Arabidopsis thaliana: one gene and its partner. The protein of the gene in region 2 interacts with the protein of the main gene of each other region in a pairwise test. Each region holds a gene or a part of one and is shown on either strand. Other genes may lie near its edges.

The links. Proteins that work in one complex are often made in the same cells at the same time.
Region 1: the proteins of GRL (region 2) and RPS6 come close enough for resonance energy transfer, tested with the Arabidopsis thaliana proteins (one study listed by BioGRID).

Annotation. Positions count from the first base shown.
Region 1 is NC_003075.7:15,345,310-15,349,728, reverse strand, and holds RPS6 (ribosomal protein S6), read left to right. Parts: upstream 1-1,924; 5' UTR 1,925-2,014; coding exon 2,015-2,020; exon of another isoform or gene 2,021-2,030; intron 2,031-2,106; coding exon 2,107-2,171; intron 2,172-2,440; coding exon 2,441-2,498; intron 2,499-2,596; coding exon 2,597-2,705; intron 2,706-2,814; coding exon 2,815-3,087; intron 3,088-3,181; coding exon 3,182-3,423; 3' UTR 3,424-3,750; downstream 3,751-4,419. Other genes in the region: GLR2.4 (glutamate receptor 2.4), read right to left, coding at 278-608. UniProt on the Arabidopsis thaliana protein: Component of the 40S small ribosomal subunit. Plays an important role in controlling cell growth and proliferation through the selective translation of particular classes of mRNA.
Region 2 is NC_003071.7:14,800,664-14,805,421, reverse strand, and holds the start of GRL (transcription activator), read left to right. Parts: upstream 1-1,571; 5' UTR 1,572-1,662; intron 1,663-1,877; 5' UTR 1,878-1,896; coding exon 1,897-2,298; intron 2,299-2,391; coding exon 2,392-2,466; intron 2,467-2,846; coding exon 2,847-2,927; intron 2,928-3,134; coding exon 3,135-3,215; intron 3,216-3,329; coding exon 3,330-3,412; intron 3,413-3,507; coding exon 3,508-3,592; intron 3,593-3,678; coding exon 3,679-3,804; intron 3,805-3,938; coding exon 3,939-4,046; intron 4,047-4,340; coding exon 4,341-4,615; intron 4,616-4,729; coding exon 4,730-4,758. UniProt on the Arabidopsis thaliana protein: Involved in regulation of actin and microtubule organization. Part of a WAVE complex that activates the Arp2/3 complex.

The sequences.
Region 1 (4,419 bases), on a different chromosome or scaffold from region 2:
GAACATGTTACACGTGTGCATATATGATGCGCATAATTAGTGTGAATAAGGCCACATATGATACGCATATATGATCAGTTGTTCCAAAAAACAATATTAGCGGTTGCATGAACGAGAAAACAGAACCCACAAGGACAATTCACATTTCTTGAGCTATACTATATATAGTTAGTATAACGTGGAAACGGAAAAAATAATCACAAACGAAATTTTTTGCTTTCATTTGCGTTTCACGTTTACTTATAGAAACAATCGAATCATTAAAGACAGAACATACCAGCCGCTGCAGCGCCAACAACATCGTCTCTAGAGTCGGCAAAGTTAAGAAGAAGCCTGGTCCGAGATTCTGGACGAGAAGAGTAAAAGTCTGAGAGAGACATGTTAATGGCGAGCAAGCTCAAGTTGGAGGCAGTTGTCCCAACATCAGTCACAACCCCAACATTAATTACTTGGATTGTCGTATTCTGTCCCTTCCCCAATTTCACGCCGAAGATAAAAACGAGAAACACTAAGACGACGTCGTTGAGATGTCTCTTCATTTTTCTTTTGTTTTTGGTTTTGGTTAAGTACCGTGGAATGTATACATCTTGAAAATATTTTGAACTCATATTTATAAATGGATAAGATTTAACGCCAAAAGGTGTTTGGTTCGAAGAAGTTTTTGTTTTTAGAAGTAAATTATACATATTAACGACCCTTTCTGCTAATGACGTAATATAAAAGTTACATTTCCATAAGAAACATTCTTTTCTTTTTTGTTTAATTGAAGATATAAATCCTTACATCATCTCTTGTCAAAAACCAGCATACAATAAAGTACTTATCTTATTAAACTATTAAATAACTAATAATATGGTTGAAATTTTAACAAAATAGGTTTTTATTAATTAACCAGTACTGGACTAACGTACCTTTGCAAAATTAACTTTTTTTCCATTTTAACTTGACAAGGGCATTATTGGACCTCCCTACACACGCATGCATTTACATAGTAGACGTTATAACTCCCATGTTAACATATTAAACTCATATCATATGTTATATGTGCCACAAATTAAATCTCTGCTCAAGTGGCCGCAAATTTCAGTATCTCATATTTTCTGTTCTAACTTAAAAGTTAACACGGTTACTTTTCATTCCTCGGTCTCAAGTCTTTCGTGATCCATCCAGTTTTGTATAAAAACACAAAAGTAACAAAATTATAGATGCAGCAAGTCGCGGGTAGTGGTGAAAAATAAGTTTCATCAGTAAAACTAAATAAAGAAAGCATATATATATGCCTTTTGTAAGTGATATCATGCAACCCCGTTTCTGATTAACTAATATTACAGAACTAGATGTAAAAAGAGAAGACAAATATATTTTACTTATCTAACATACAGTTTTTAAGTTTTGATATAAGAAAAACATTGTTTAATTAACAAGACGAATGTAGTAGTAAAAGACATTGCAGTAAGGCGTAACCACGTAGTATTCATTCACCATCACCCGTGACCCGAAACATTTTATTTTATATCGTTGAAATGACTTGGTTTGTAAGGAAGAGAGATAGTCAAACAACAAAAAGAAAGAATTAGTCAGATATCGTACTCCCGGAAAAGAAAATAAAAAACGATTCCGTGATTGAAACAGGTTGCTTAAGAGAATAATCATTGGCAGAAATTTGTTTAACACGAACTTTTTTAATCAAGGCCAAGTTGCAAAAAAAGGTCAAACAAAATTACACATTATTTTGAGGAGAAAAGGTTTATATATATATATTTTTTATTTTTTTTTGAACACGGAAGGTTTATATATATATATATATATATGTATCAAATTTTCTTCAAAATAAACTAATGCTATGTTTTTTCTGTTTGAAATTATTATTTCATGAATTTAGGAAGAAGAAAATGATAAAAGGGCCATCGGGCCCATAATCGCAGAAAACGGCCCATATAAATCCACCAAACGAATCTTCTCTCTTGGTATAAATATGCTGTCTTGCGTTACAGAGAAACCCTAGACGTCGAAGATGAAGGTGCGTGACGGCGAAATCGAATAGACTCTACATTTGCTCGTATTCGAGTTTCCTTTGCTAACCTTTTTCATGTTTCTTCGTTTCAGTTCAACGTTGCGAATCCAACTACTGGATGCCAGAAGAAGCTCGAGATCGACGATGACCAGAAACTGTAAGATTTTGCTTCTCTGTTTCATCTTCATTCATTTTTAATAGATATTTCGTGCTAGGTTGCCAGATCTATTGATTGGTGTTTGTATATATCACTGTTAAATTGATAGGTCTAGTAAACAGTAATTGTCAATTTTTCTATGTTCGTCTTATAAGCTTAATAAGAGTTAGAATCTTCTTCTATGTTTAATACTTACATTAAAATAAGTTTCGTATCTGCTCATAAACATATCTGGATTATATTATTCAGCTTGATTTATGTTGATGCAGACGTGCGTTTTACGACAAGAGAATCTCTCAAGAAGTCAGTGGAGATGCTTTGGGCGAGGTACAGATTCCATTTTTCTTACTTTGATCTAATGAGTGTGAAGATTAGCATTTCGAAGCAGATGATGATGTTTTGTTTATGAATTGTTGTTATTGCAGGAGTTCAAAGGATACGTTTTCAAGATCAAGGGTGGTTGCGATAAGCAAGGTTTCCCAATGAAGCAGGGAGTTTTGACTCCAGGCCGTGTTCGCCTTTTGCTTCACCGAGGTAACTAAACATAATACCTTTTCTTACACTTTTGCATCTATAATGGATTTGTATTTGTGTGTGTGTGTGTTTTGCTGTAGATTAACATTGTTTCGTAATGGGTGAACAGGAACTCCTTGCTTCAGAGGACATGGAAGGAGAACTGGTGAGAGGAGAAGAAAGTCTGTTCGTGGTTGCATTGTGAGCCCTGATCTCTCTGTTCTGAACCTTGTCATTGTGAAGAAGGGTGAGAACGATCTTCCTGGGCTTACCGATACTGAGAAGCCAAGAATGAGAGGACCAAAGAGAGCCTCCAAGATCCGTAAACTGTTTAACCTCAAGAAGGAAGATGATGTCAGGACCTATGTCAACACTTACCGCCGCAAGTTCACAAACAAGAAGGGTGAGACACTGAACTTGAGAAATAGTGGTTTCTGAATCACACTTGAGAAATAATGTTTTCTGAAACTTGTTTCTTCTGTTTGGATTTTTGACAGGCAAGGAAGTTAGCAAAGCCCCTAAGATCCAGAGGCTTGTGACCCCATTGACTCTTCAGAGGAAGAGAGCTAGAATTGCTGACAAGAAGAAGAAAATTGCTAAGGCTAATTCTGATGCTGCTGATTACCAGAAGCTTCTCGCCTCGAGGTTGAAGGAACAGCGTGACAGGAGGAGTGAGAGTTTGGCAAAGAAGAGGTCGAGACTCTCTTCTGCTGCTGCCAAGCCCTCTGTCACAGCTTAAAAAAGCTTGAGAATCAAATCAAAGATGTCACCTTTCTAGTTTTGTTCTCTTTTCTTCTCCGGCTATTAAAAAGTTAGTTCGAGTTCATATTCAGCTGTTTTTGTTCCAAGACATGGGTACACAATCGCTTTGGGCTTGTTTCATGATTTATGCTTTTAGTTGAAGACCATTTTAAACTCAATTTTTATTGCTTATCTTTCTCAGTTTTTGATCAAAGCGTTTCTCCATTGAAAACCATTTTAATCACCTGTTTCAATCATACATAATGTTAAACACATGTACTGGCGATTACAATAGGTATATATTTTGACTGAAATTTATGGAGCATTGTATGACGGTTTGATAAATTTCTGAGAAAACTCATTCTTAAGTTTTAAGATTATCTCAACAACTGGTGAATCAAAACTGTGATGTGTGGTTTGGGCCAAACGACCCATAAACGAGTTCAACTTAACAGAGAAAGAACAAAAACAATTATATATGTTGACAGAGAGAGGTAACACAGCAAAGGGGTGGTGGCGCAGTTGGCTAGCGCGTAGGTCTCATAGCTATTGAGTGATCCTGAGGTCGAGAGTTCGAGCCTCTCTCACCCCATATATTTTTGTCCTCTTCAAACTAACCTTAAACTCACGTTTCTCCTTTTTTCCTTGTCACACTGAAACTGAATCGTTTTTTTTTCTTTGTCGACTGATGATATATCTAGATAAAGAGTTTCAGAAAGCCAATTACAAAAGCATCAAAAACACAACCATGATGCTCTAACCAAAGCAGCCAAACTTACAGGCTTAAACAACAAGCCAATATACAAGATCACAAAAAAAAAAAAAAGAAATCTCGTTAGGCTATCTTTTGTGATTTAGATTTTAGTTTTGTTTTCTATCAAAATGTACTCCCTCTATTCCTAAACTTCAAAAGTCTTTAGTGTCAGTGAATGGTGTTGTCAAGTGAATGGTATTGTCACATTTTTTTATATTGTTTTTTATTAATCTAAAAAAT
Region 2 (4,758 bases):
TAGGTCTAGGCACGGCAGCAACTACACTTGTAGACTCTTGAATTAATTTGGAGTTCAGTAAAATAACTGCCCAGTCCTGAGATGAAGAAATTGGAATCCAAGATAATAGCCGAGTACAAAGAAGAAGCTAATGGAAGATTCATGCGAATAAAGAATATAGGTTCGGTCATATTGTAGCAACCGTGTGAAAACCGTTTTTTTGTTATTTTCTGGTTCATAGGGACCTCAAAAGATAATGTGAAAGGAAACAAAATCTGTGATGCAATGATATGTGCACAGAGGGAAAAGATTTTGGAATCATTGTTGCTTATTGTGAAGGCCAAGCTTGTTTAGCCACAGTTGTCCAACAAAGTTACAAGATGTGCCTTGTAATACAATATTCCTGCGTTGTCAACCCTACTTTATTATATGAAGTTGTTTTTGTGTGTCATGGTTTCCACTAATTTACTTATTAATTTGATTGTTTGATTGTTTTCTATTAGTAAAAAAGTAATATCAACATTATGATTAAATTCTCAAATCAAATAATTATGTTGAAAAGATGAAATGCTTGGATAGCACTGAGCTTTGGACACGCAACAAAAAGTGAGGGAGGGGCAAATTCATCATCAGAAACGTCAGAAACATTATTTATTAGTCGAATCATACTAAAGTTTAACACAGTAATTCTAAAATAATTGACAATTATTACACCTAAAAGCTACTCCATATGTAGAGATAATGATAATTATATACTACAAGTTAGTATTTGTCGACGTCAATATTGTTCTCTTGGTTAATTGTTTTTAAATATTAAAAATTACCGGTTAAGGGACTTGTTCTCATTTTGTCAAAGCTTCGAAAACTTACATTTCAACCACCCAACTAGAACGTTTGTTCTTTTTCTAACAGAAATTTTCCTTTTAAATACTAAAAATAGTACTTACTACATAATATACCAAATACTTTTTTCTATTTTAGCTATCCTCATTATTGAAATAGATGTCGTAGATTTGAATTTACCTTCTGTTAATGTACATATGATAAAAGAACATTGGTTTGTTATGCTAAAATCTCAATAGTTGGAGCTAATCCTATAGTTTTGCTAAAAAAAACTTGTAATCCAAATAACTACAATCAAACCAAAACAACACATGATTTGAAATATCATTTTTTCTAGTGAAAAAATGTTGTCTTGCACTGCTCAAATTCAAGTAGACAATTCCGATTCAATATAACTAAAAATCTCATATTTTATTAAAATTTTATAAACAATTTATTTTTTGAAAGGGATAAACACTTTCAGCTGTTCAATTGTTCATAATTTTCTTCTACTTACATTGTTTCGTTTCCTATGGAAATGTTTAGATTTACAGGTAAAAAGTAAAAAATGTGCTTGAGCAAGAAAAGAGTAAAAAAAAATAAAAAAATCTGCATTTTAGTTGAAAACGAAAGAAATTCTACTGACTAATTTTGTCTTAAATGAGAGAGACCCGAATTTAGCAACTCTTTATTTCTCGGCTCACACACTCCGATTAAGCCCGACGCTCTCTCTCCTCTTTGTCGTCGTCATCATCGTCTCCGGAGTAGGTTGCAGAAATTCAGATCTGAACTCTCAGACGAAGCTCCGATCTTACTGAGACATTTTTGCTCGATTTGACTTTCGCCTTTAAAGCTTCTCAGGTAACTTTCAATCTTCACGAGACTCTTGCTTGACTTGGTTTTAGCTCCTTGTTTGGTTGCTGGGAAATTGACGAGGGGATATCTATTCTCACTCGTCACTCGTTGTTGAGTATTACTGGGTTTTTGGAAGATGAATGCAAGAGTAGAGAGCTAAGTAAATTATGTTGGACGAGATTGTGTAACGTGATTTTGAAATACATTTTCCTTTATTGTAGAGATTATTGTACTGAATTAATGGCGAATTCTCGTCAATATTATCCATCTCAAGATGAATCAATGTCCCCGACTTCTGTGAGATCAAGGGAATGGGAAGGTCCTTCCAGATGGACTGAGTACTTGGGACCTGAAATGGCTGCATCAGTGTCTTCTACTAGGAGCTCTAAGCAAATTGATGGACATGTTGGTGGTTCCACAAAGGCTTTGAACATACAATGGGTAGTTCAAATGATTGAGGTTGCTGACGGTCTCATGGCTAAAATGTATAGACTGAATCAAATCTTGGAGTATCCTGATCCTGTTGGCCATGTATTCTCTGAAGCATTTTGGAAAGCGGGTGTCTTCCCTAACCATCCACGGATATGCACTTTGCTCTCTAAAAAGTTCCCTGAGCATTTCAGCAAATTGCAACTTGAACGTGTAAGTCATGAGTTCTTTTTTTATTAGACTTACTGTTTGATTTGTTGATCTGATGGTAAATGAAAAAAGATTTATTCTGCAATACTTATGCAGATTGATAAGTTTTCACTGGATAGCTTGCATGATGGTGCTGAACTTCACTTACAGAGCTTAGAGCCATGGATACAGGTAATAAGAAACTATCTATGTAATATGTTGTTGGGTTTACGTTCTGTTGTTGTGAAACTTGTTGTTCGAGAATGGTGAAGCATCTCGGAAGTCCTACATGCTATATAGTCAATCTTTCTATTAGTTTTCTTTGTGTACCTAGTCAATCTTCAATCTTCAGTCTGCTATATAGTCAATATTCAATCTTCTATTCCATCTCACCATTAGTCAGCTTTATATATCTGGGCATGCATATATGATTTACCTAATACATGGTTTTAACTTTTAAAATGTAAACGAGTAGTTATTTGCTAGCCTTCTTTCCTTAGTTCGTGTGTAGCATTTCAGTAAGGGGTGCCTTCATAGTCCTCTCGTCATGCATTTTTCTTTTCTTGAATCAGCTGCTGCTCGACTTGATGGCATTTCGAGAACAGGCACTGCGGCTTATATTGGACCTAAGCAGCACTGTAATTACCTTGCTGGTGAGTCAAAGTCTCTCATCTGCGGAAAGTATTTACTTGCTCTGGGTTGAAACTTTGAGCTTTCTTTTGAACTCGTACCTTAGGTGGAGGTCATGAAATGTTTTGGTACATTAAGTTATTATTTACTTGTCAAAAATGTCTGTGAGGATGAAGATAAAATTGTTGAGTATTCATGATTAGCTCATAACTTAGTTCAGCTTTTTGCAGCCTCATCAGAACTCACTTATTCTGCATGCATTCATGGATCTCTTTTGTGCATTTGTCCGAGTCAATCTCTTCGCAGAGAAGGTATGCTGAGCTTGTTCCTTTTCTTAGTTCTTTGTTTATTTGGATTGATTACACATGTCATGTGAGACATTACATTATTATCAATATGTAAGAGTGTTTATTTTATCAAAGTAGATTCCTAGGAAAATGTTGTTGCAAGTCTACAACCTTCTGCATGCGCTATCAAGAAATGATCGAGACTGTGACTTTTATCACCGGTATGGATGTTTTTTTCCTTGTAGTATCATTTTTAATTTGTATATAATCAATAGACTCTGATATCATATATTAACACTCCTCGTCTTGCATCCAGCTTGGTGCAATTCATAGACTCTTATGATCCCCCATTGAAAGGCTTACAAGAAGATTTGAATTTTGTCAGCCCAAGGATTGGAGAGGTTAATATTTTATTCAAATCACGGGTATCCTACGAGCTAATATTGCAACTGATACAGCAGTACTAACAACGTTACTATTTTCCTAGGTCCTGGAGGCTGTAGGACCCAGTATTTTTCTATCTGCAGATACGAGGAAGTTGAGAAATGAGGGATTTTTAAGCCCATATCATCCTAGATTCCCAGATATACTTACAAATTCTGCTCATCCCATGGTACGAACGGCTAGATTATTATCAACATAAAAGCTTAGGATTCTCAGAATTAGTAGGATGCTATTGTCTTTCCCTTACAACTCTACTTCGATGTATAGTGCTAATATTAGATAATACACTCTTGGTTCCTACAGAGAGCGCAAGATCTTGCAAATGTTACTTCGTACCGAGAGTGGGTGCTTCTTGGATATCTCGTTTGCCCCGACGAGCTTCTTCGTGTTACTAGCATTGATATCGCCCTGGTATGAATCTGTTTTTCATTTTGTTCTCGATTGTGATCTTGATAAAGAAGTTTTTCCTCCAAGGATTCTATCTTGAAAACTATCTTATCTGGTCAATAATAGGTTCTATAAATTTGTTTCACAAATCAGAAATTTTCTGCCTCTCTCTGCCTTTGTTTGTAAAATGTTAAGTGCTTTCATTTTCAGTGTTTGTTTAACTTAAGATTAGTAATGGAGTTAGGTTTTTGATGCTCAAAACAAATCAAGATTGCGTGTAATTCGTGCTGTCTCTAATACTGTCCTGTTGTATTTCAGGTCGTGCTAAAGGAAAACTTAGTCGTGACGTTATTCCGGGATGAGGTGAGTTTATATCAAATGGTCTGCGAAAAAGAGTTTGGTATTGGAATTAGTTTTGCATCAGCTGACTCTATTAATCTAACTATGCAGTACATTCTGTTGCACGAAGACTACCAGTTGTATGTTTTACCCCGAGTGTTAGAATCAAAGAAGATGGCTAAGTCTGGACGGACTAAACAAAAGGAAGCTGATCTAGAATATAGTGTAGCAAAACAAGTTGAGAAAATGATCAGGTAACTCCAATTTTTAATAGTTCAGTACTTTGTAATCCTCATCTGATACTGGAGAATTTTTGTGACTTTAGCTCTGAATTTATAGATTTACTTTTGTTTGGTCGCTGCTTTCAGTGAGGTGCATGAGCAAGCATTGCAATTAT